3 linked regions of the Alligator mississippiensis genome follow. The protein of the gene in region 1 purifies or fractionates together with the protein of each later gene. This does not show direct contact. Links are inferred from orthologs where the notes say so. Each region holds a gene or a part of one and is shown in the gene's direction. Other genes may lie near its edges.

Region 1 (8,042 bases):
CCAGCATGGGTTTGTTGTGGATAGGTCTTGCTTGACCAATCTCATTTCCTTCTACAACCAGGTGACCTATCACTTGGACAAGGGAGAAGAGATTGCTGTCCTATATCTTGACTTCAAAAAAGCCTTTGATCTGGCATCCCATGATCACCTCTTGGTGAAACTGGCCAATTGTGGCCTTGGGTCCACCACAATCTGCTGGCTGGGAAATTGGCTCCGTGGTCAGACCCAGAGGGTGGTGGTTGACGGAAGTCAATCGTCATGATGCCCTGTGACCAGTGGGGATCCCCCAAGGCTCTGTCCTTGGACCCATATTGTTCAACATCTTCATTTAATGATGTGGACATTGGAGTCAGAAGCGGACTGGCCAAGTTTGCCGATGATGCCAAACTTTGGGGCAAAGTATCCACACCTGAAGACAGGAGGGCGATCCAGGCTGACCTGGACAGGCTCAGCAAATGGGTGGACGAGAACCTGATGGTGTTTAACATTGAAAAAATGCAAGGTTCTTCACCTTGGGAGGAAAAACCTGCAGCATCCTTATAGGCTCGGCAGTGAGACTTGGGGGTCATGATTGACCACAAGATGAACATAAGGCTTCAATGTGATGCTGCGGCTAGTAAAGCGACCAAAACGCTGGCTTGTATCCATAGATGCTTCTCAAGCAAATCCTGGGATGTCATTCTCCCCTTATATTCAGCCTTGGTGAGGCCGCAGCTGGAGTACTGTGTCCAGTTTTGGGCTCCACAATTCAAACAGGATGTGAAGAAGCTTGAGAGAGTGCATAGGAAAGCCACGTGCATGATGAGAGGTCAGGAAAACAGACCTTACGATGACAGGCTGAGAGGTATGGGGCTCTTTAGCCTGGAAAAGTGGAGGCTCGGGGGTAATCTGATGGCCACCTATAAGTTTATCAGGGGTGACCACCAGTATCTGGGGGAAAGTTTGTTCACCAGAGCGCCCCAAGGGATGACGAGGTCAAACGGTTATAAACTACTGCAAGACCGTTTCAGGCTGGACATAAGGAAGAATTTCTTTACTGTCTGAGCCCCCAAGGTCTGGACTAGCCTGCCATCGGAAGTGGTTCAAACACTTACATTGAACACCTTCAAGAGAAATTTGGATTCTTATCTTGCTGGGATCCTATGACCTCAGCTGACTTCCTGCCCCTGGGCAGGGGGCTGGACTCGATTGATCTTCCGAGGTCCCTTCCAGCCCTAATGTCTATGAAATCTATGGGGCGGAAAAAAACCTCCAAGCAAAATAAATTGAATCTCTAGCAAGGCAAGGCAGAGGTCCAAAGGAGTACCTACAATACAAAGAACAGATGGTGGGAACACCAGGCAAAGGAGATTTAACATCTTGCTGGTATCCACAAGATACGTGGTTATTTTTAATGTGACCCAAAGCTATCTACAGTCTGAGCACTCAAGGACCAAACCCTTTGAGACCTAAGATTGGAAGAGACCTGATCAAGGAATGGGGAGCCATCAGTGCCCATTGGAAGGAGCATTTTGAAGACCTCCTCAATTAAGACACTGTTGTTGATGAGAGGTGTTCTCCACTCCATCCCACAACACCCAGTCAAAGAGTATCTTGGAATCCCTCCAACCCTTGATGAGGTGAGGAAATTCATCAAGCAGGCCACTGGAGTTGATAGAATCCCTGCTGAAATCTTCAAGCAGGGGTTGGGGGACAGGGGCAGAGAGGCGCTCACGTCACAGCTCCATGCCTTCCTCACCATTCCAAATCTTTAAGATGAAGTGCCAGGTGACCTTAGGACTACCATGATCATGACAAGAAAGGTGACAGGTCTGACTATGGAAACTACAGAGGGATCACCTTGCTATCCACCACAGGAAAGCTTATTGCAAGAACCCTCCTGAACTGTTTCCTTCCACTTGATGAAGAGCTCCTCCTGGAATCTCAGTGTGGATTTAGGGCATTAAAAAGCACAACTGATATGATCTTCACAGCTCACCAGCTGCAGGAAAAATGCTGGGAACAACATAAACCTATCTACATGGCCTTCTTTGACCTCACAAAAGCCTTCAGCTCTGTCAACCAAGAAGTGCTATGGAGGATCCTTCTGAGATCCCACTGAAATTCATCACCCTTCTTTGCCCGCTACATGAGTGGTTTTCAGTAACGGATCTATCACTGCTTGAGGTTAAGATGGGAGTTAAGCAAGGCTGCATCATCACTCCAACACTGTTCTTGATTTATTCCTTGTCATGATGCTACATCTGACTACCACCAAGCTTCCAGCCAGAGTAGAGCTAAACTACCAAATGGATGGTAAACTGTTTTTAATCCCAGACAACTCTGAGCCAAAACCAAGACCAATCGAGCTTAATCCTCAAGCTGCAGCATGCTGCTGATGCTATAGTCTGCGCTCTCTCGGAAGCAGACCTTCAGGCAATTGTCAACATCATTACAGAGGCATACAAGAAAGTGGGACTGAAGCTTAGCATTCAAAAGACTAAGGTCGTCCAACAACAAGCTCTTAATAGTAATTCAGATTCATGGTGAAACTCTTGAGAATGTTGAGTATTTCCTGTACCCCAGAAGCATTTTCATGTCAACCTCCTGTATTTCTTGTCACAGGAGGTTGACATGAAAGAAATCCAACATCACCTCAAATGTGCAAATGCAGCCTTTGGATGCACTTAAGGAAACAGGCGTGCAAAGACTGTGTCATCAGATCCAAAACCAAGCTCATGGTTTATCAATCAGTTATGATCCCCACCTTTTTTGTACAGAGCTGAGACTTGTGTGGACAATGTAGAGGAGACTCCTCAAGTCATTGGAGAAATATAATCAATGCTGCCTGCAGAAGATCCTTCAAATCCAGTGGGAAGATGGACCGCACCAACATTTTCTGGCATCCTCTCGCAAGCAAATACTATGAGTACTGAAGTGATGATCATCTGACACAAACTTTGTTGGGCCAGCCACATAATTTGGATGTCTGACACTTAATTCCCAAAGCAAGTTTTATTCTCTGAGCTCAGTCAAGGCATATGCTCAAAAGGAGGGCAGAGAAAGTGCTTGAAGGATGTCCTCAAGGCCAACTTGGAAAAAATGCAACATTAGCAGCAGCTCATGGGGAAACTATTGCCTAGGACCTCCCCAAATGGAGGAAGAGTTTGCTGCAAGAATCTCAATACTTTGAAACCTTATGACAACAGGAGATGGAAAAGTGGGAGTCGCAGAAACAGTGCATCACAGACAATCAAGAATCTGGAGCCACCTACCCCATGCAGAAACACATGCCTGAGTTGTGACAGTCTGTTGATCCTGCATTGGCCATCTTCAGACCCACAGATGAGATATTAATGGAAGACAGCTGTCCTTGACTGCGATGGATCGCTGAAGAAGGGGACATGGCTCTGGCCCTCTACCTAGGAGCCCTTAAGCATATATAGATATTTCATGAAAATGGGATGTTCGCTGCTGTGGTTCCCCTGCTTTACCTGGGGCTGGTTAGGGTGTTGGGTCAGGACTGACAGTAGTCTTGTGTATATGGAGTTTAGATTTTGGATCGTATGGGATAGTTGGATACAGATGATCCTGCCTCAGGCAAGGGGTTGGCCTAAATGATCTCTGGAGGTCCCTTCTTCTGTATGTGTGTACATCTGTGTGTGTGTGCGTCTAAAATAGCTGCATCTTAGTTGGGATATAAGGCATACCCTTCTTGAATTCAAATCACTCATTCCTTCCTACATAGCTTTCTTCTGTCCTGTCATAGTATCTGATGGAGTGAGCTTGATTTCATGAAAGCTCTGAGTAGAAAAGGGGTAGGCCTTGCATCTTTGCATATAAAGTACACCTCTGCTCTGCCTTTGGCCTGACTTGAGACTAAAGATGACTCTCTGCTCAAGGAGTTAACTTGATGTCTTCCTGCAGGCTGCAGTTAGCTGCTGCTGCCTCCTACTCCTAGCCATAGTGCTGGCCTGTGCAGCACTAACCTCTTAAAGAAAAGAAAAGGGTGTTTTTTTTGGGGGGGGGCACAGAAGAGAAAACAGGTAAGCTGCCCCACGGGGCCTCTCACACTGGTGGCTTTGCCTCAGGCCCTTCGTCTCTCCAGCTTTGCTGAACACCACCACGGCTGCAGGACTGGGCTTGGCTCATTTCTCAACCCACCAGTCACAACCCAAAAGCGGGTTGCAAGAAAGGGTTGCAAACAGACTTTAAAAACGGAGTCTCCTTCAAAGGAGAAAAAAACATGGGACACCATGGATTTTTTTCCCTTGCAGGCTGGCAGAGATCCAGCCAGCAAGGGGCTACTTGCCCCCCTCCCCAGCCACCCTACACAGTGGGGGGGCAGCGGGTCCAGAGTGAGGGGCGCTGGGTCGGGCCTGGCCATGCATGTTTACAAGTGGGTCCTGGTACAAAGCCGGCTGAGAACCACTGCTCCGGGGCGCCAGGGCCCTCATCCCATGTGAGGGGAAGGGAGGGGAGGGGGGCTTCATGGTCTGCAGGCTTCTAAGGGCTGGAGGTGCTGCGCTCCCTAGCGCCGCCCCGTGCTCGCACCCCGCCTCACAGCTCAAGCCCGCACCTTGCAGCCTGGAGCAGTGGCCGACCGCGCAGGCCCCGCAAGAGCTGGAGGGGGCGGGGCCAGAGCCCGGAAGCTAGCAGCCTGCGGCACGGGGCAGCCTTGACGCTCTCCCCCACGCCGCGCAGGGAAGCAAACTACGAGTCCCAGGATGTTGTGCGGCCAGACTGAGCGTTCCTTCCGCTGTCGGCGTTTGCAAAGCAATCTGCCTGGCGATTGGCGGGCGCGCGGGGGCCGGCGGCCAACCAGCTGCCCCGATGTATTGGGGACAGTAAAGCTAAGGGGGCCCGAGGTCCCGCCATGTGAGTGCAGCGGGCCGGGCCTGGCAGGGTGGGGAGCGCTCGGGGCGCAGGATCCCGGCGATGGCGGCCACGGAGCAGGAGCAGGGCGAAGTAAGGGGCGGCCACGGGGCCGGGGCTGGGGATGGGCTCGGGCCCCCTTGGAAGGAGCGCGGGACTCCCCGGGGGGCGGGGCGTGGAGCCCTGCGTCACAATCGCTGCCGCGGAGATTCCACGGTCCCGTGGGGGGGCGGAGCGTGGAGCCCTGCGTCACAATGCCACGGCGGAACCCGCCCCCCCGGGGTTCTTCCCCGACAGGCCCAGCGAGGCCCTTGGGAGCCCTGGGCTTCCCCCGCGTCTGGGAGGTCCTGGCTGCGGGGGGCAGGAGCCCTCTCCTGGGGCTGCGCAGGACGAGCCTTGGGTGCAAACAACTGGCACTAGGAGATGGATCCGTGCACGGGGCCCCTGCTCCCCTTTACATGTGTGACACAGATGATGGGCAAACTGCACAATAAATGTGGTGCAAAGTAACACTTATGCCATCAAAATGGCCATCCTATAAGACCAGCCACTTACTGGGTCAGACATCTTGCCCAGGGTCCTGCATACTGTATCTTTGCCCAGTCTCTTGGGTCCATGTGGGCACCAACATGTGGATAAGGGTAGCAGGGAGGTCCTGGGACCTAAACTTAGGCAGCTAGGTAAGAGATTGAAGTCCAGGACCTCTGAAAAGCTTCTGGTGCCATGCCTGGGGCCAGATAGGCAGGCAGAGCTCCAGTCTCCTGATGTGAAAGAGCCAACCTGCTCCCAGGGTAGTGCTTGACAGCTCCATAGCTGGTTTCTATCCAGCTTTCATCTGAACACACAGCAGGCCCTGTGTTCTGTGGCTGTTCTGCTCTTGCTCCTCTGGGCGGCAGAAAGATGCCCGGGCTCAATGACCAGCGCTAAAGAAAATCTCATGCCACTGCAAGCACCGCACAGGAGAGAGATCTCGTGGGTGCAGAGCAGTAGGGCTGCTGGCAGTGCTGACTGGTGGTGATGTTTCCTTGCTGGCTGCTGCTGCTGTGAGCTCCTTTCTCCCTGTGACTGCATGTCTGTGCTTCTGCTCTTCTCTCCCTTGCCCCTCTCATTGCTGAGCCTCAGTGTCTGTGCATGAGCTCTTGGCAACAGCATATCTCCTAACTTCCTTAATCTGTGTCCAAAGCACAGCTAATCACTCTTCCTTCTCCCCTCCATCTTAAAGACAGGCCTTTTGTGCATCCCCTGATTTGCTGTCCCTGTACTCTTGCATCTCTTTGCTGTATGGATATAGCTGTACAAATAGATCATGATGAAATCACAGGGGGAAAAGGACTTTGACTGATACTTATTTAATACTTGAAAATGAAAGTTGTCTGGTTTTCCAGTGCAGCTCCTGAGCCAAAGTCAGCCCAGGGAATGTGATGGTAATAGAGTGTACAGCTTTTACTTTGTTAGAAAATGCACCTCCTTGCTTCAAGGCCATTTTTTGATCCACTGTGTCCCAAGCTGTATTGGGGAGGGTTAAATAGCATGGAGAGCAGCAGCTAGTTACTGAAATAGATCATTTGTGCTGACAGCTCCTCTCCCTGCTGGGCCACCCTGATGACAGCACAAAAAATGTTTTCTAGTGGGTGTGAAGAAGACCAACCACTGGACAGGAAAGTGAGTGAAAAGGGGTGGTCTCTCTCCTTCCCTATGAATTCATACTGACCCCTCCCCACTCAGGATGGTTTCAGGCATTCTGGCTTCTTGCTCCTGGGTCACAGAATCATAGAAAAGTAAGGCTGGATGGGACCTCTGAAGGTCTTCTAGTCCAACCCCCTGCCCTATCCAAACCATCTGGTACAAATCCTTGTCTAACCTGTTACTAGAAGTACACAACCCTGTTGCACAACCACAATGCACAGCACCTTAACCTGCCACAGGTAGCGCAGGGGAACAAGGGTGGTCCAGTGTCCTGTTGCAAGGGTTGTTAACATGCTCAAGAGATCCTAGGAAGAGGGCCACGCGCCTGCTACAGAGGAAGGCCAGAACTCCCCCAGCCCATGCCAGTCAGGCCATGGGATAAAATTCCTTCCTGATCCCAAATGTGATCATTGGTCTGGCCTGGTGTGGAGGGGCAAGACCCTCTAGTGAGGAACCTCCAACTATTTATTAGTCCCAGTAGGAGCATTGGTACACCCAAGTCAAAATCCCAAGCCTTGGCTGCAGCCACTTCCTTATGCTTGTGAGGAAGGCAAAAAGAAAATTCCCTGAACAGGTGCAGTAGCAACAGAAGTGGGGAAATAAATTCCTTCCTGGCTTCATGCAGTAACCAGTGAAGCCCAGAAACATGGGAAATAACCATAACGAGCATAGGCATAGCTATTTCTAGATTGTTCCTGATTCATGCTTATCCAAACTCTTGAAAACCTCCAATGATGGAGATCCCACAATTCCCTAGATAGTCTATTTTACTGCCTCAGTGCTTTAACAATGAAGTAATTCTTCCTGATATTTAATCTAAACCTACTTTGCTGCAGCTATAAGCCATTGGTCTGCCTCCTGCTCTCTGCTTCCAGTGTCTTTCCTGTGGTTGCCCTTCTGTGACTATGAATCTTCTTTTCGTCTGGGAGAGATGTGTATGAGGGGTAAAACATTAAGGAAATGTGGAGCTGGTGGGAATTCTTCCTACCAGGGAAGCTAGTGCTGGCTCAAGGGTCTGGTCCTGGTATCCTGTGATTGCCACAGCCAGTGACTTGCTCCTGAGGGCCAGGCTTTACTGCATAAGGCAGGGATGGGGAACGTCCGGCCTGTGGGCTGGATCCAATCAGCCAGGGACTCCATTTCCCAGCTGCCCCTGCCCAGATGGCTTGTACCGGTCTTTATGGAGACCTCTCACGCCAGCAGCGTATGCGGCAGACAGCACAGGGGGCTGCTCCATTGCTGCCAGGAACGTGGGATGGGGGCAGCTTGCTGCGGAGCTGCGATCTGTAGCCTGCTGCAAGGAGCTGGGGCAGAGCCACGATCCCCTGGATGTGTGCCTCTGCACAGAGCGTGCAGGCTACAAATCATGGCTCCGCAGCAAGCTGCCCCCGTCCCACATTCCCATCAGCTCTGCTGGCATGGCTGAGGTCTCCATGGAGACCGGCACAAGCCATGTGGGCAGGGGCGGCTGGGAAATGGAGTCCCTGGCCAATCGGCAGTCC
Region 2 (7,662 bases), on another chromosome or scaffold:
AGCAGGTACATCTACACATGCAATTAATGCAAACAAATAAACTCTGGCACACTTTGCACCATAGTATACTGCTCCCAGGCAAAGCGTCCACGTGTGCCTGGGACAGCAGCACTTTGAGCTGGGGCAGAGTTGGCAGGGACATGGCGGGTCAGCCCTAGGCTCTGGGTGGCAGCATCGGGAGGCAGAAGTGCTGGCTGGGGTATGAGGGTTCTAAAATGAGGGGCTAAGTGTCAGGCAGCCCCCTGCACTTTAGCATCCCCATGCCCCAGCCAGCCCATCACCACCTACATGTGCCTTTTGGCAGAGCAAGTAACTGCACTATGAAATAGTAGTGTCCCCAACAGTACTATCTTATCGCAGAGTTAACTTATTTACTGTGCTCTAACACCGGTGCACGTCCAGATAGTGATGCTTTACTGCAGAGCTAATTAGTATAACTGCAGTAAAGCACACGTGTAGATGCACCCAGTCTGGACTAAAGCCTCTGAAGCTCTTTAACCAGGCTGAAGTCAGAGGTGCCTCCAAGATGTTAACCTGATTGCTAAACCCAGTAAAGGTCCAGTCTATACGAAATGTTTAAACAACGCATACAGCTAGTTTAGGCAACGTGTTACAGCTATATTTCCTGACCCAGCTGTATTTATAGTATAGGCTACGGAATTTTTTTCTGAAAGCGTCTCAGTGATTTAGGAGCCAACGTTCAATTTTCAAAGGTACTAAAGTCCCATATTGGGAGTGAAATGGAATTTAAAGGCCAGTTTTCTTAAAGCAACCACTAGGTACATAAGTCACCTTTGAAAATTTGTGATTCAGGCTCCTAAGGTAGGCTCCTCAAAGGTATTAGAACCCTGACTCCCATTCATTTCAATGGAAGGTTGAAGCCAAACATCTAAATATCTTTCACAACTGTGTCATAGTGACTTTTGAAAATTTATCCCAGAACCACAGACACTTTCTTAGAACTCAGTACCCTCTGTCATCACTTTTCATGTTTTCTAGCTAGCTTTCATTCCATGTGATCTTGCTTGTGGCCAGTCCAATTTGAAATAGTGCTGAGGTAAGATTTAGCAAGATGATAAAATGTTTCACTAAAATCAGGATAGAGAAATAGCATTCTCTTTGCCCATTGATCTTCATTCTTAGAAAAGGAATTGAGTTTGTCTGGTATGATTTATTGGTTATAAAACCATGTTGCTTCTTACTCATAATTCTGTTTCCACTAGAATTTTGCAGATTTTTAAATCTTTTTTCCTTACTTGCTATACAGCATTCTATTTTTATGTATAAATATATATTGTAAGAACAAAAATAAATATATAATTCACAATATAGAATATATCATTCTTATATATTTTCTTGTGTTGAAGATATGGCCTGTAATTATTAGACATCATAGTACATGAATAACAGGCATCTGTTTCTCGTTAATCGACTAATAACTATGGTCTCTGACCTGCAAATGCTTAAAAAACAGACTTAACTTTATGCATGAGTAGTCCTGCTGAAGCCAATGAGATTCCTCATGGGTATAGAGTTAAGCAGGTATATAGGTGTTTTAGGTTTGGGTGCCTATAGAAAAATGCATCATTTGGCATTTAAGTTTATTTAGCTCAGGATATGGTAGTTTTTTCATAACAAGAAAGTTTCCTTAATTTATCATCTAAATATAATAGTATTCCAATATAAACAGACCCATCTTTTCAATTAGTTATCAAAAATGCTGAAATGAGACTGTAAGGCTTTTAATGCAAGCATGCATTAGGCTGTACTTGTGATGTTGGTTACCTCTGGAATTTTCTCCATGGTTTTTAATGCACTCTACCCTTTTTTACATATTTTATTAATTTTTTTTATACAGCATTACCATCAGCCATGTCTTTGGAAATCCTCCATATCAGCTGGAAGAACAGAAGAACAAATGGCAGCGTTCTGCTCATGCAAACACTGCCAGCATTTAAGCCACATTTATGCAACACCAACTCCCTTGGACCGGACATGTTATAAGGATTCCTGACAACCGGCTCCCAAAACAAGGATTATACTCCCAACTCACCGATGGTCACTGCTTTAGAGGTGGGCAAAAGAAGTGATTCAAGGGGCATGTCTACATGAGATGCTGACCGCGCAGTAGCTAGGTGATATGTAGGGAGGGCACACGGGGCATGTGCCCTCCAAGACTGGCCGCCGCCAAAGCTGCCGATGGCTTCTGAGGCAGATTGCCACTCGCCACCTGCCCCCCACTCGCAACCAATGCAGCTGCGGGCAGTTCCCACTCGCCACCCCTCCCCCCTACTGCCACCGGCATCTGTGGGCGGTCCCCACTCGCTACCACTGACACCTCTGCCGGTGTCTGCGGGCAGTCCCTGCTGCCACCTACAAATGGTACCCCCACTCTCAGGAGGCACCAGTCATTCATGACAGCACAGACAGTACTAATACGCTACTGCACAGTATTATTAGTCTACTGTGCAGTAGTGTCACCTAAAACATTTTTGCCGGTGCTACTGCGCAGTAACTCCAGTTATTGTGCATTTATTTAGTACTTGCTAATAAATACTAAATAAATGCGCAGTAACAACTGTGATGTAGCATCTTGTGTAGATGCATCTAAAGACCCTGTAAAAGCTAATCTGAAGAAATGCTATATTAACATCAACACCCTGGGGACTCAAGTACTAAACTGTCACCAGTGTCACTGCGATGTACAAGGCATCAATCATTTTAAGCAAACTTGCCACGCTATGGAAGTGGATGGATGAGAGAGACAAAGGCAAAGAGCTGTGACCTGACATCACCAGGAATACTCCTTCCTCTCAGACCTATTTGCCATGTCTACAGGTGAACATGTGGATCTCAGATCAGCTTCCTCAATCACCTACAGACTCATTGATTGCTTCCCTATTTATTGGAAGACTCTCATCCTCATATCGAAGGACTCCCAACAACAACATATGTCAAACAAAGGCAAAGAGAAATGAGTTTCTAAATATCCTTATTGAAAACCCCTTTCTTAATTATGCCCACGTTTTAAGAAATTTGAACATGTGTTCTTCCTTCCATGTAACACCTGGATGTCTGAAAGTGATTTCCATTGACTGCAATGACAAATAGTGGTGAAGACAGCTTGTCCTATCTCCAGGTTTTCCTGTCAGTAGGTCTGTTTCACAACTAAAGACATTGCTAATTAATATAATGAAACTGGTCTTATTTCCATTTTAGACATATGATAATCACTTTGCCATTACATTTTTTGCTCAAAAAATGCCAGGATTTATTAGTAAGTAGTAATTTTGAGCTTCCTCGCACTTATATGCGAACATAAGCTGGGTGTAATCTTCAATGAAATGCTAAGAAATGGTTAAAAAGCAATCAGGGCTCATGGTAGAGGTGATAGCTTTTATTAGACGAACAAGATTTTTGCACAAAATTTGTCTTTAATTGCAGTTACAGAATTTTTGCAAAAATCTTGTTGGTCGAATAAAAGATATCACCTCTACCATGAAATCTGATTGCTTTTTCCTTTATATCAATATGGCTAGTGGATACCCGACATTTCTTAAAGCATTCTTTATACCAAGAAGTCTTCATTTAATTGGTTGTGTTGGATATAGTGGGCATTTTCTTCTTTTTTTCATCCTGTATCTTGTAACCTTTGCCACTTAGTTCTCTGGCTACAAAAATAATCCGCTAAAACGCTCAAAAGACACAATGACGGGTATCTGGTCTATCCACGCAATTCTTCCATGGAAGTGACTGGTCATACGTGAACCAGCCCGTGTTTAAGAAGTTCTTTGTCTCGGAGAACAAATGTCGCCCTGGACACTTATGCCAGAGAGTCAATGCAAATGGCGCCTCTGCTTGCTGAGCTGGTGCAGCTTGTGGAGAGGCTGCCTGTGGCTTGGGCCACGCCAGGGTTTGCTGTTGGACACTGGCCTCTCTGGATTATTCATTCTTCTTATGAAACAGGCCCTTTTGAGTGCTGACGCCACACACGCAAGTGGCTGTGTCAGTGGGTACAGGTGTCTGCCCCACGGCTGCCATCTTGTCGGCTCTGGCATGGCAGGAGGCTTCTTGCCTGGGGGGGGGGGCTCAGTGCGGAAAGGTGCTGCGGGGCCGTGTCAGGCCGGCAATGGGCGGCCGGCGCGTGCGCAGTGCCCCTGCCCGGCGGGAGGGCTGTGCCGCTTTCAGACGGGACAGGAGGGTCAGAGGCTTCGGTGCTACTTCTTCGCCGCCCCCACGCAACGCTCATGGGGAGGGGGAGGGGGAGCGAGAAGGCGCAGCCGCAGCCACCCAATGAGGAGCGCGCGCCTACTCGGCCCACTCGAGAACAGCGTGTTTCCCTCGCGCGAAGGGCGGGGGAAGGGCAGGAAGGGCGTGGCCAATCTGAGGGCCGGAACGCACGTCACGCAGCTGCACAGCCAATCAGGAGCGCGCTCTCCAGGGCGTCGCGAGGCCAGCCTGCCCGCGCGCCCGGAGCCCCTTGCCTCGCGGCCCGCCGGCCGGTCACCGCCGCCTGCTTCCTCCCGCCCGGCCGCTGCGTCGCGTCGGCACCCCGCGGTGTGGGGGCGGGGTCCCGGGGGCGGGCCACGTGACGGACCTGGCAGCCAATGAGGAGAGCGGGCGGCGGCGCGCAGCACGCGAGGGTCTCCAGCGCTGCGAGCGGGCCGCGTGGCGGATCGGCGCCGCGTGGAGCCGGCGGCGGGAAGCAGGTAGGTGCTGGCGGCGGGGCCCGGCCCAGCCCAGCCCAGCCCATTCCTCCCCCATTTTGAAGTTTTATTCGAGGAGGCGCCGTGCAGTGTGCGCGTCACGTGACCGCGGCGGCCCAATCACACGTGACCGCAGCCGGGAGCCTGCCCGCGCCGCGCTTGAGGCCACGGGATGGGCCGGGCCTGCCCCGCCTTCTCCTCTCGCGAGCAGGGGGCCGGCGGTCACGTGACGGGCGCCCAGGCGGGGGCGGACAAGGGGCTGGAGCGGCGCCGTATCCGGGCATTGCGGGGGTGGGCTCGACCCCGGGAAGTGGCTATGCCAGGAGTCGCTCCGGGCCGCGGGGCTTCGCGGCGTAGGCGACCGGGCAGGACTGGCAGCCTCGCTTGAGCCTGAGCGCCCGGGGCCGCCCTCACGCGCCTCGCGGGCAGCGCTCCCCGACACGGCCTCGGCCTCGGTCTCGGCTCGTGCGGCGGCTCCGCCCCGCCTGGGCGCCGTTCCAGCAGCTTTCTCGCCGCCCCCTGCTGCTTCCCTTGCAGAGGCTGGAGCCAGGGGTGTGGCCGCCACGCAGCAGCGCGGGGGTGGGTCCGCCTCCGGCAACGCGGGGCGGCTCCACCGGAGCTTGCTGCCCTGCTCCTGTCCCTTCCTTTTCCCTCGCCGTGGGGAAGGGCAGGGATCTGGGAACAGTAGTTGTCGGTGGGGATTCCCCCTCCTCCCCACGCAGTGGCACCTAGAGCTCTTCTGTGCAGGATTTGTGCCTAGTCAGCGGGAAGCAAGTCCAACAAGGAGGCTTTCTTGCCTCCTCGAAGGCACTCAGGGGCTGGCACAGACTGTACTAGGATCACCTGCACCTTGTTCTTTTTTAGGTTGTTTTTTTTTTTTTTAACCATGAATCTTGCACATACAGGACTAGATACTTAACTCTTAACCATGATGGAGAGGGGATTTCATAGCAGCCTTCAACTACCTGAAGGGGGGTTTGAAAGAGGCTAAAGCTAGATTGTTCTCAGTGGTGGCAGATGACAGAACAAGGAGCAATGGTCTCAAGTTGTAGCAAGGAGAGTTTAAGTTAAATATTAGGAAGAATTTTCTCACTAGGAGGGTAGTAAAACACTGAAACAGGTCACCCAGAGAGGTGGTGGAACCTCCATCCTTGAAGGATTTTAAGACCTGGCTAGACAAAGCCTTGGCTGGGATGATCTAATTGGGGATGGTCCTGCTTTGAGCCCCAGAGGGTTGGACTAGATGTCCTCCTGAGGTTCTTTCCACCCTCATTTCCAATGATTCTATCTACTTTTTCTTTCTTGGGTCAATTTTATAACTGTATTTGGGGTGGATGTTCTTATTAAGTTACGTCACAAAAAAGTCACAAGTGATGATTAGGTGTAGTCTATCCATAAAATTTTGAGGGATAAGCAAAGAGTGGGGGGTGGCATGTCTTGGACCAGAGGTGGCCAGTTCGTGGCATGGGCAGCCTCTGTGTATGGCACCCTCCAGATCAGGAGGGAGCAGGCAGCACACAGCCAATAGGGCAGGGAGCTTAAAGCAGAGCAGCAGCACAAGTAGGGGGAAAAGAGATCAGAATGGCACATAAGGAGAGCACAGGGCTTAATTTGTGGTAGCCCTGCCAAAAAAGTTGGCCCCTCATTGTCTTGAACTATCATGTTCCTGTGATTGTGAATTTTCTGGGTAGTCCAACCCTTAGAATCATGTTCATTTTTTCTGAGTTGAGCTTTGGAAGGAAATGTATGGAAATGAATTAAGGAAAATGAAGAAAATAAAAAGAGGAACACCCAAAAACAGCAAGGAAAAGGAACAGAGAAGATCAGAAAGTGAGGGCTAGACAAGGAGAAAATAAATGAAGTGTTTCTGGTAGAAAAGAATCTGCTGTCCATCGCAAGAACCCCTACCTCCAAAAAAGCCAATTTTGGAGGTGAGGAGTAGAGCAACAGGGGAGAGCTGAATTAAACTGTCCTATGTTGGAACGGTGTCCTAATCTGACACATCTTTCAAGAGTAATTCTTTACCCTTCCTGAAAGCCTTCCATCTAGTGATCTGCAAGTGCTTTGCAAACACTACACCTCATTATCTCTGTTTAATAGAAGGAGAAACACAGATGTGGAAATGACTGCTCTGAAATTAAAAGGAATAAATCAGTGATGATGATGAGGAAGAAGAAAGTACAGTTCTCATCTCTTGACACCAGCTTAGGGCTTTCATGAAAAGACTGCTTTTCCAGGTTTTTTTCCAATCACACTAACAAGGTATAGTCTCTCTTCCCATCAGCTAAGGAGTGGTAGAGAGAGAGCCTACCAAAGCCTTTTTTTTGGTGGGGGGGGGGAGGGTTTTTTGAGTGGGCTTGAGTTTATTACTCTACAGCAACAGTTTGTTGAATGGTTACTTGGTCCTCAATACCAGTGAGCTATTTTTCTGTTAATCTCTGTAACAGACTCCCGTTCCAGGTAGCATGATCCCCTGGAAGCCCTCTCAGCCCTTATCAACTTTGCTCTCTTTGAGCAATTTCCCTTTTCACTTTCCTGCCACACCTTGATGTATTTATCTTTTAGAAAGTGGGAGGCTGCCTCATGGCTCCCCAAGTCTGGTCTCACACTTTTGAACACGTGTGTCAGGTCTGTGCTCTGTTCATCCTTATAGCAGGCCCTCTGGGTTTTAGGGACTCTGGTCCCCTCAGTCTCTGGCTGTGGCCCTCCTGACTGTTGGTACATCCTAGACTAGTTGAGACCTATGGGTTCTACAGCCCTGCCCACCTCCAGCTGTGGCCCTTCTTGGCCTTTGGCCCCTCCTGAGCCCTGGCCCCACTCTTAGGCCAGTGAGACTTATGGGCAGCCTGGCCCTACCTGCTCCCCAGACCCTTCAGCCCTGTGCTCTGTTTTCAAGCCCTCTCGTTTCTGCTCTCTCTCTCTCTGGGTCCTTTGGCCCTTTGTTGTCTGGGTGGGC
Region 3 (8,286 bases), on another chromosome or scaffold:
GGAAGAATCGGTATTTTCTGCACCTCCAAAGCAGATCCCAATTGGCCTCACTTACAGACGAGTACCTGTGGCTGGTTTACCAAGCGTGACAACTCTGCTCAAACACAGATAACTACTCTGGGTAGGCCATCTGAGCAGATTGGAAGATGGACGCACACCCAAGATCATGCTATACAGGGAACTGTTGGAGGGAACAGGAATAGCAGGATGTCGCAAGCGGGACTGGACACAGGCACCAGCAAACTGGGGACTTAGACATGGTAATTTTTTTATTGTTATCATCATCATCTCTGGTGAAGCGGGGCCCAATACTAAAAGTTTGCCTGGGGCTGCCAGGTGTCTAGATACGGTGCTGGTCCCAAGCTTTGCTACGAAGATACATGCAAGTGAGATATGAAGGCATTTGGAATTGATCCTGACCAGTAGGAAACCTTGGCAAGTGATGGGAACAAGTGGCATCGTTGTCTCCACCAGGGCATCAAAGTCCACAACAGAAATTGGCTCCAACAACTTGAAGAGAAAAGAGCCAGTAGGAAGCAAGCAGCTCCCGAACCACCCAACCATAACATATACATTTGTAACTGCTGCCACAGATCACACAAATCTCAGATTGGACTGTTCAGTCACGTGAGACACTGCAAACCAGCTACATCATAGGCTGCAATATCCACTGTCTGCCATAGACAAAAGGATGCCAAAGATGTAACCTGTGGAAAATAATAAAAATGACAGCAATAACAACAACAGTGTTTGCAGGCCAACATGTTCTAATATGGGTGCTTGAAGCCAGGTATTAAATTATAAATGATTTGCCTTCTGGAAATGCTGAACACCCACTTCAAATATTCCAATAGGTATAAACATTTGCATTAAAGTGTGTTCACATGCAGCTGGTTTTCTTCTGGGATAATAAAACTAGGAGGTTTCATTTATTTTCCTGCACAAATAGAAAACCCTCTTTTTGCAACACTTGACTTGCAAATGCTTCAAAGAAAGATTTTAATCCAGTATGCTTAGAGACACTTTGCTTAAATTATTTTAGTTAGTATTCCATTAAAAAAATAAAGCCGTCTTACTTTTGCAGGATAGGACACTCAGGTCATGCCAAGCTTTGATTGCTTTTGCAACCTTAGACATTTACTTCTATTTCAAAAGAGTTATAAAGTTTTGTAGTGTGTTGTCATGGTGGGGTCCTGCAGGAGGGACCTCGAGGAGATCACGGCCCTCGCTCCATGTCAAGGCCGGCCCAAGGCACCCTCTAATTCTCGCCTGCCACGTCTTTGATGTTTGTATATAGTTGGGAGGCTGCCTATGACTCCCTGGGCACAGCTACTCGGGACCTCTGTCCTTGTGTGTTCCTGGACCCCCCCTGGGGGTCTCCCGGTGTAATGGGTGCTCCCCAGGCACCCTAGCCTTATGGGCTACGCGTGGCTCCTACCACCCCTAATACCAACGCCTCAAGCCTCGCTGATGGGAAAGACGTTGTCCGGTCGCAATACACGCCTGCTTCCTCGGGTCCTCTCCTGTAATCTAGCCCACTCTTGGGCCTTCTCCATGTGTTTCTCTACTAGTGCCCCTTCCTGGGCTCTCTCTAATACAGTGCCCCTCACTGGGACTCTTGAGACCCACTCTGGGCCTTCTCTAAAAGTGTGGTCCTGCTCAGGGACCCTCTAGCGGGTCTCCGGTCCTTTAGGCCAACCGCACAGCTACCCTCTCTGATCCCGGCTCACCGCACTGCTATCCCCTTTCTCCGGGAACCACCGCAGCACCTTGCCTTTCTCTTGGGGCATCGTACTACTAACCCCCTTCTGTCGGGGTCCATCGCAGCACCCTGCCCCTGTCTGAGGGCTGTTGCCGCACTAGCCTACGGCCGTGCTCACTACGCCTGTCTTGGGCCCCTCAATAATACCGCCCCCTCTCCGGGGCTCGCTGTGCCCCTCTGGGCTCCTCACTAATACCGCCCCCTGTTTGGGGCTCTCTACACCCAGCCTGGGCTCTTAAAAATGCCCCTCCCTGGGGCTGGGGTCTATGCACCCCGCAAGTGACGCCCTTGCTGGCGTCTGCTGTGCCCGTCCTGGGCTTCCTAATATGGCACTCCCCCTCTTCAGGGCTCGCCATGCCCACCTTGGGCTTCTCAATAGTCCCCCCCTTTCTCGGGGACTCGCTGGGCCCACGCTGGGCTCCTCTAGAGTGCGCTCCCCCTTTCTGGGGCTCGCCACATCTACGCTAGGGCTTCCTAGCAGTGCCCCCTTCTGGGGCTCGTCATGCCCACACTGGGGCCTCTCAAAGCTGCCCCTCTCCGGGGCTGGGGTCTACGTACCCCGCACACAACCCAGGGTCTCTGTTCCCCACCTGCAACCCACTAGTTGCGCTCCTTGCCGCCAGTTGCGCCTTCACTGGCGCTGGGGTCCCCATACCACTGGGGTTCCCCCTTAAAGTACTGTGCCCTCACTCAGGCACTGGGGCCCCCACACTCCCATGGGGCCCTTTATGAGGACACTGTGCCCTCCTCAGGTGCTGGGGTCCCCACACTCTCTGGGGTCCCTATGAGGATAATGCACCCTCTTGGCCCTAGACTGCGCCCTAACTGGCGCTGGGGCACCCCACCCCTATGAGGCCTCCTCCAACCCTTACAGCCTCACCCAAACCTCCGGTTTAATATCAAAGCCGAACATAAACTCGAGCCTCCTGGCTATAACTCAAACATAAAGCCTCCTGGCTAAACCATGGTGCTCAAACCTCTCAGAGCTGCCATCCTTCTCTCAGCTAGAGCAGTTCCTACATTGCTCAGCTCCTAGCTCCAGGAGCTTCTGCCCCTCTGACTGCTAGCAGGGAACTGCCAGCCTGGCCTTAGCCCTGGGGTTTATAAGGGCCAGGCCCTGCCTCCTACAGGCAGCTGGCTCCCCTTAGTTGCCCCGGTAACCCGCAGCTGGCTCTTTAGGTCCTGCCAGGGTTCTCTCTCTCTCCCTGGCAGTTTCTCCTCTTTAGGAGCAGGAGCACCGAGGTGCCCTGCGACATGTGTCAAAAATAATTACTGCATTTCACGGTGGATAGGCCAACACACTGTAGGTTGACGCAAGGCTTTCCGATCTGAAAGGTAAGGATTTTCATAGGCACAGTGTATGAATTGGGGCTAGGCTTATCGCTCTACTGGCACAGCCCCATCCCCTGTGGTGCAGCCCATGGTGTCACTTGAGCCTGGCAATGCTCACAGGACAGGGGCTGGCCTGGGCTCACCACTCAGCTGGCACTGCCTCATCCCCTGTGAGTGGGGAGCCCAGCCACAGGGGATGGCCACCACAGCCAAGCGCAGCCCTGTCCCTGTCCTCATCCCCTGCAAACAGCACTGGGCTCATGGGATGGGGCTGCACCAGCCAAGCACCAAGCCTGGCCCTGTCTGCTGCAAGTGGCACTGCTGAATGCCAAGCCTGGCATATATCTCTAAATACATAAAAGATGCAATCTAAACACACAAATCCACATATGCACACAAATCCACACGCACATGCATGAATCATGATAGATAGATGCACATATAAATGCATATATATGTATAAATGTATATAGGATTTACATGCTGTCCTTCCCAACAGACTTTATCTTGCTATAGACTACTCTGAGCCTGTCTGTAAATAAGGGTGTAGGTTGTAGCTGTTGGTCTAAGGACATACCCAAAGAATTTTGTCTGCCTAAATCCCATGTATCTTATATTAGACCAACTCAAATAATTGGAAAAATTCTGCTTAACAAGCTTTCAGGCACAAACACCTTTTGTCAGGCTGAGGAAGTGCCTGCAGATGGTCTGTGCTCTTCCTGGATGGAGTGGTAAAGCAGCCATAGGCCACTCCATCCAGGAAGAACAGACTATCTGCAGATGCTTTGTCAGCCTGATGAAGGGTGTTTGTGCCTGAGTGCTAAGAAGAATTTGTCCAACTATTTGAGTTGGTCTAATAAAAGATACGGGATTTATCCAAAGAATCTTGTCTGCCTAGGCCTGTAGATACGGATTTCCATGCTCCCTTTGTCAGTGAACGCCATACCCGCGGGTACTCAAACATTACAGGGATGCTTATCTTCCGGACTAGCCCCCAGGGCATCATTTGCTGACACCACCGGCTACCTGACCAGGAGGGGGCCCACAGCACAAGACGCACCAAGGATCAAGCAAGCCACAGGAGAGGAGAGCGAGTACGTGCTTGCGTGAGAGAAACGCACCCACCGCCCTGAACCCACTGCCCGGTCGGGGGGGGGGGGGAATCGTCCCAGGACCGCGCCGGGCGCATGCGCAACCGCCTCCGCGCCCCCATCTCCGCGCGTAGCCTTGGCCTTTAGTCCGGAGCCGCCGGGCGCTATCAGGTCACGTGCCAGCGTGATGCCGTCATGAGCCCGGAAGCGGCCGGAGGTATTGGAAGCAAGAGCAGCAGTAGCAGCCACCGCCGGAAGGAAGCGTCCAGGCTTAAGGGAAGTGGGAGTGGGAGGGGGCAGGGGCTGCGCGTGCGCGCTGGTTGGGTGACGCGGGGCCGGTTGCCAGGGCGGCGCGGCTCAGTATTATGGGATGTGGCGGTGGAATGGCGCGGGGCGCGTGATTTTGAACAAACGCGGAGCCGGTCCCTGGTGCTGCCGCCGCACGGGGCAGGGGGGGCGCGGCGCGGCGCGGGCCGGGGGCGGGGCGGCCGCGCCCGCCTGGTGAGTGACAGCGCGGGAGGACCGTGGGGGACGCGCAGCGCGGGGGGGAGGGAGAACTCGGCCTACGTGCGCCGCCGACGCAGCCGCTTCCCGCCCGGCATTGGGCTGCAGGGGCCGGCCCGGGTCCTCCCTGCCCTGGGTCGAGCCCAGCTGCGGCTCCTGGAGGCGAGGCGGCTGCTGTCGGCCTCTCCGCGCCGCTCGTCCGCGGGCAGCGGCGTCGGGTCCCGCGCGCTGCACCGCTGTCACGTCCGTGCGGAGCTGGGGGGCGCTGCGGGCTGCTCTGGCTCCGTCGCTGCCGGGAGGTTGCTCTGGGCTCCCGCCAGGGCCGGTGCGAAGGGCGAGGAGAAGCCGCCCCGGCTCCGCCGTGCCGGGACACCCCCCGGCGGCTTCTCTCTTGCGCTCTCCGGACAGCGGGCGGTTGTGGGGACACTCACTCACTCACTCGCCCCAATTCTCTCCCTGCGACCCTCATCAAGGTCATGGGGGGGCGCGCGGGGGCTGTTGTGCCGCCGCCCGCTGTGGCGGGCTCCCTCTCCCCGCCCCCAGGCCCGGGGCGGGGCGGTGGCGGCGGTGACGAGGTGAAAATGGCGGATCTTTCGAAATCCAGTCCCGGGCCCTGACGGAGCAGCCGCTGCCCGGGACCCCTCACTGCAACCGAGAGTAACGGGCAGGAGGAGCCTGCGCCGGGCTGGGCCGTGGAACCGGGGTGCTAGCGGCCCAGGCTGGGCCACTACTTGTGTTGGGCCCAGTGCCTTGTACCCGTCGCCGCCTCTGGGGCAGGGGGCCTCTGCTTTGCCTCGGTGCAGGGTGGTTGCTGGCAGTGCCCTGCTCCCATTGAGCATTGGGTCTTTCAAGCCCTGTTCCGACTTGCCCCATCCCCTCCTGCTGCTCGTTGTCCTGCTGGCAGGTGAGTAAAGCTAAGCAGCGGCTTGTGTTGAAGCCTGCTGGATGGGTTGGTATTTTTATCAGAGGGCAGTCTTTTTTCTCTTCTTCTTGCCTTTGGAGGCTGGCTGTAGCTCTGCAGGGGTAACAGGCTTCAGAAGGAGAAGGAGGTAAAGTGAGTTTGCCATAGTGAGTAGGGGGCCCAGCTACATATACTGAATTACCCCCCCAAAAAAAACCCTGATGGGGATTGGGTGTATGGCTCCTCTTGAGTAGGAAGTATGGTGCTGGCAGGGACTGGCTATATTGCTTCCCTTGTGTAGGGAGCTGAGTGTATGCTGTTAATCCACAGCATCACAGGTGGCATTCTTGGGTTTTGTGCACATGGCACCTAGCCAGGTTTCAACTCTGTTTCCAGCGTGTGGCAAAGACTCGGCAGTGCTAAGCACCCATAATTCCCCATTGCCCAGCACTTTGCAGGATCAGGCTCCAAATTATAGCCCTAACAAAACAGGATAGCATGATTATAATGTACTTTGGTCTCATTGTATCTGTGCGTTACTCTGTGCTTCTGAAATGCGTTGGGTGTTATAATACACTTCTACTATACAGTAAAAGTGAGAGCTCATGTTGGCTCCGAGACCAAACTGTCAGATATTTATGTGACTTTCTGGAAAATATCTTTTGAATGAAAGCCTTTTACATGTCATTTTTTAAGGAAATTTTCCTTATAATGTCTAAAATGTCATACTTGGCATGGACTTTGCCCTTGGTGAAAGCAAGTTTTTTGTGTGTGTGTGTTTATTTTCAAACTGAATCCTTTCAATCTGGAATCCTTTGATACATGTGGATTTCTGACTGTTTGTTTTTCTTTCAAAGGTGGAACTCTTCCTTGAGCCTGCATATCTCTGCATGTGAAATAATACCTTTTTGTTTTGGGGCATCAGGAATGATGCAGTTTCATGAGGAATTGCACTTATAGGCCACGTGAAACAGCTGCTAGACAGTAGTCTGAACAGGAGGAAAACACTGAAATGCATGCTGCTTTCTCTTGTCATCTTACACATTGAGGGTTAAAACTTTCTGTCCAGGCTCAAGTAGTATTAGAGATGTTAAGTCTGTTGGTCTCTGTGATGTTCATAAGTACTGTTTAGGATACAATGAACTATTTGAGAGTTCAAATTCCTGCTGAACATGATACAGGAACTAGCAACAAGTGACTCTTATTAGGTAAATTGCTTAACATTACCAGAATGTGTTTACATGCTATAGTGATGAATGCATTCTATGAACCCATTAAGAATGGAATGGAACTGGGCGTTCAAGAATGGTGGGATGTTTGTTTGAATAATACATTAATTTTTTTAGGCTTTAATACTTTGCTCCATCAAAGTTATGTTTGACTACGTATATTACAGATGTCAGTATTTCCCCCCTCTATTTTCGATTCTTGCATTATAACAAATTTCAGTAACTTCCTCTCAACCCTTAAACATGTTTGTCGTACCAGCTTAGACTGATCAAAATTTTTCCTTATTAGTGGTTAATATCTGTTGCAGTTGAAATGGTGCTTGAAAATTCTACCAATCTTATTAGCCCAAGGGTAGACATGAAAGCTGGGAAAGAGAGAAACTCTTGGATTTGTACCTGGAGGATGTCCCTGGTTTCTGACAACAGACTCAGTCTTTTGCTCCAGTTCTTGGATTAGAATGTGACTTGCACTGTTTATGAAAGAGCTTCATCAAGCTATTTAATCTTTATCTGTTGAAGGATCATCTCAGAGTTAAATTCAGATCTCTTTGTAGCCCTTAACTCCTGGTTTTGTTTCAGGTGTGTGTGACTTTAGGGTGGTCACTTAACCTTTCCCTGCTGGAGTTAATGCATTTATTAGCTCTTCCCAAATATTAATACATTATACTGACAGGAACCATGTAAATATCTACAGAGAAGAACTTCTGGGGGTTGTTTTAATTTGTTTCAGCAGCCCATGAGAAACAGGAGAAGAGAATCTCTATTCTATTTCATTCCTACCCTTTGTTTTCTGGGAGGTCCTCATCTGAATAACTCAGTCTGTCTCAGCTGCTGTTGGTAGTTCTGCTCAGCAGCTGTGTGGAATTGATGGGATTCACTGCTGTCTACAGGGTTCTGAATACATCTTCAACATCCCCAAATATAAATCCTAGTCATTGGGCTATCAACTGTTCTGGCATGGCATTTCTAGTTCTGTTCTGAACCTGAAAGAACTTTCTGCTAAACTCCTTGTAAAAACTAATGCTACTGCCAAAAAGTTTTTGTTTCTTTTAATCGGTGCCTCCCTTCCTGTGAAAAAACTGTTTTGTTGGAAAATTTGTACTTGGCTCCAGAACAGTGATTCTCAACATTTTTTTTTTTTTAATGTTAAACTTGAGGCATCCCTTGATAACACTTGTGAATTGTGACACCCCATTTAAAAACCTAATTGGTTTATTACAGTGCTTACCTCCTTGCAAGAGATTTTAGGTAAATGGAATGCAGGGGTTCAATCTGCCTGTCCTTACCTGCTCACTTCCAGGCACCTGGAGCCTGTACCTGCCCTTATCTGCTGAGTTCTTTGCACCTTCTTATCTGCTCACACTTTTGATCCACCCTTCAAAGGATCTTGTGGTATACCGGAGTACCCTGGCATCCTGGTTGAGAATCACTGGGCCAGAAGTGTATCTGTCTGTCTAGGTTTATTCT

What was found.
Region 2: the proteins of L3MBTL2 (region 1) and MGA purify together in Homo sapiens (affinity purification with mass spectrometry; 3 studies listed by BioGRID and IntAct, counting the BioPlex papers as one, with this or other methods). This does not show direct contact. The link is inferred for Alligator mississippiensis from reciprocal best matches to the Homo sapiens genes L3MBTL2 and MGA.
Region 3: the proteins of L3MBTL2 (region 1) and LIN54 purify together in Homo sapiens (affinity purification with mass spectrometry; 3 studies listed by BioGRID and IntAct, counting the BioPlex papers as one, with this or other methods). This does not show direct contact. The link is inferred for Alligator mississippiensis from reciprocal best matches to the Homo sapiens genes L3MBTL2 and LIN54.

Annotation. Positions count from the first base shown.
Region 1 is NC_081827.1:97,502,294-97,510,335, reverse strand, and holds the start of L3MBTL2 (lethal(3)malignant brain tumor-like protein 2), read left to right. Parts: upstream 1-4,816; 5' UTR 4,817-4,917; coding exon of another isoform or gene 4,918-4,947; intron 4,948-6,431; 5' UTR 6,432-6,456; coding exon 6,457-6,516; intron 6,517-8,042. UniProt on the Homo sapiens protein: Putative Polycomb group (PcG) protein. PcG proteins maintain the transcriptionally repressive state of genes, probably via a modification of chromatin, rendering it heritably changed in its expressibility.
Region 2 is NC_081825.1:239,074,918-239,082,579, reverse strand, and holds the start of MGA (MAX gene-associated protein), read left to right. Parts: upstream 1-4,204; 5' UTR 4,205-4,709; intron 4,710-7,662. UniProt on the Homo sapiens protein: Functions as a dual-specificity transcription factor, regulating the expression of both MAX-network and T-box family target genes. Functions as a repressor or an activator.
Region 3 is NC_081825.1:146,548,794-146,557,079, reverse strand, and holds the start of LIN54 (protein lin-54 homolog), read left to right. Parts: upstream 1-4,864; 5' UTR 4,865-5,593; intron 5,594-8,286. Other genes in the region: COPS4 (COP9 signalosome complex subunit 4), read right to left, coding at 4,216-4,307. UniProt on the Homo sapiens protein: Component of the DREAM complex, a multiprotein complex that can both act as a transcription activator or repressor depending on the context. In G0 phase, the complex binds to more than 800 promoters and is required for repression of E2F target genes.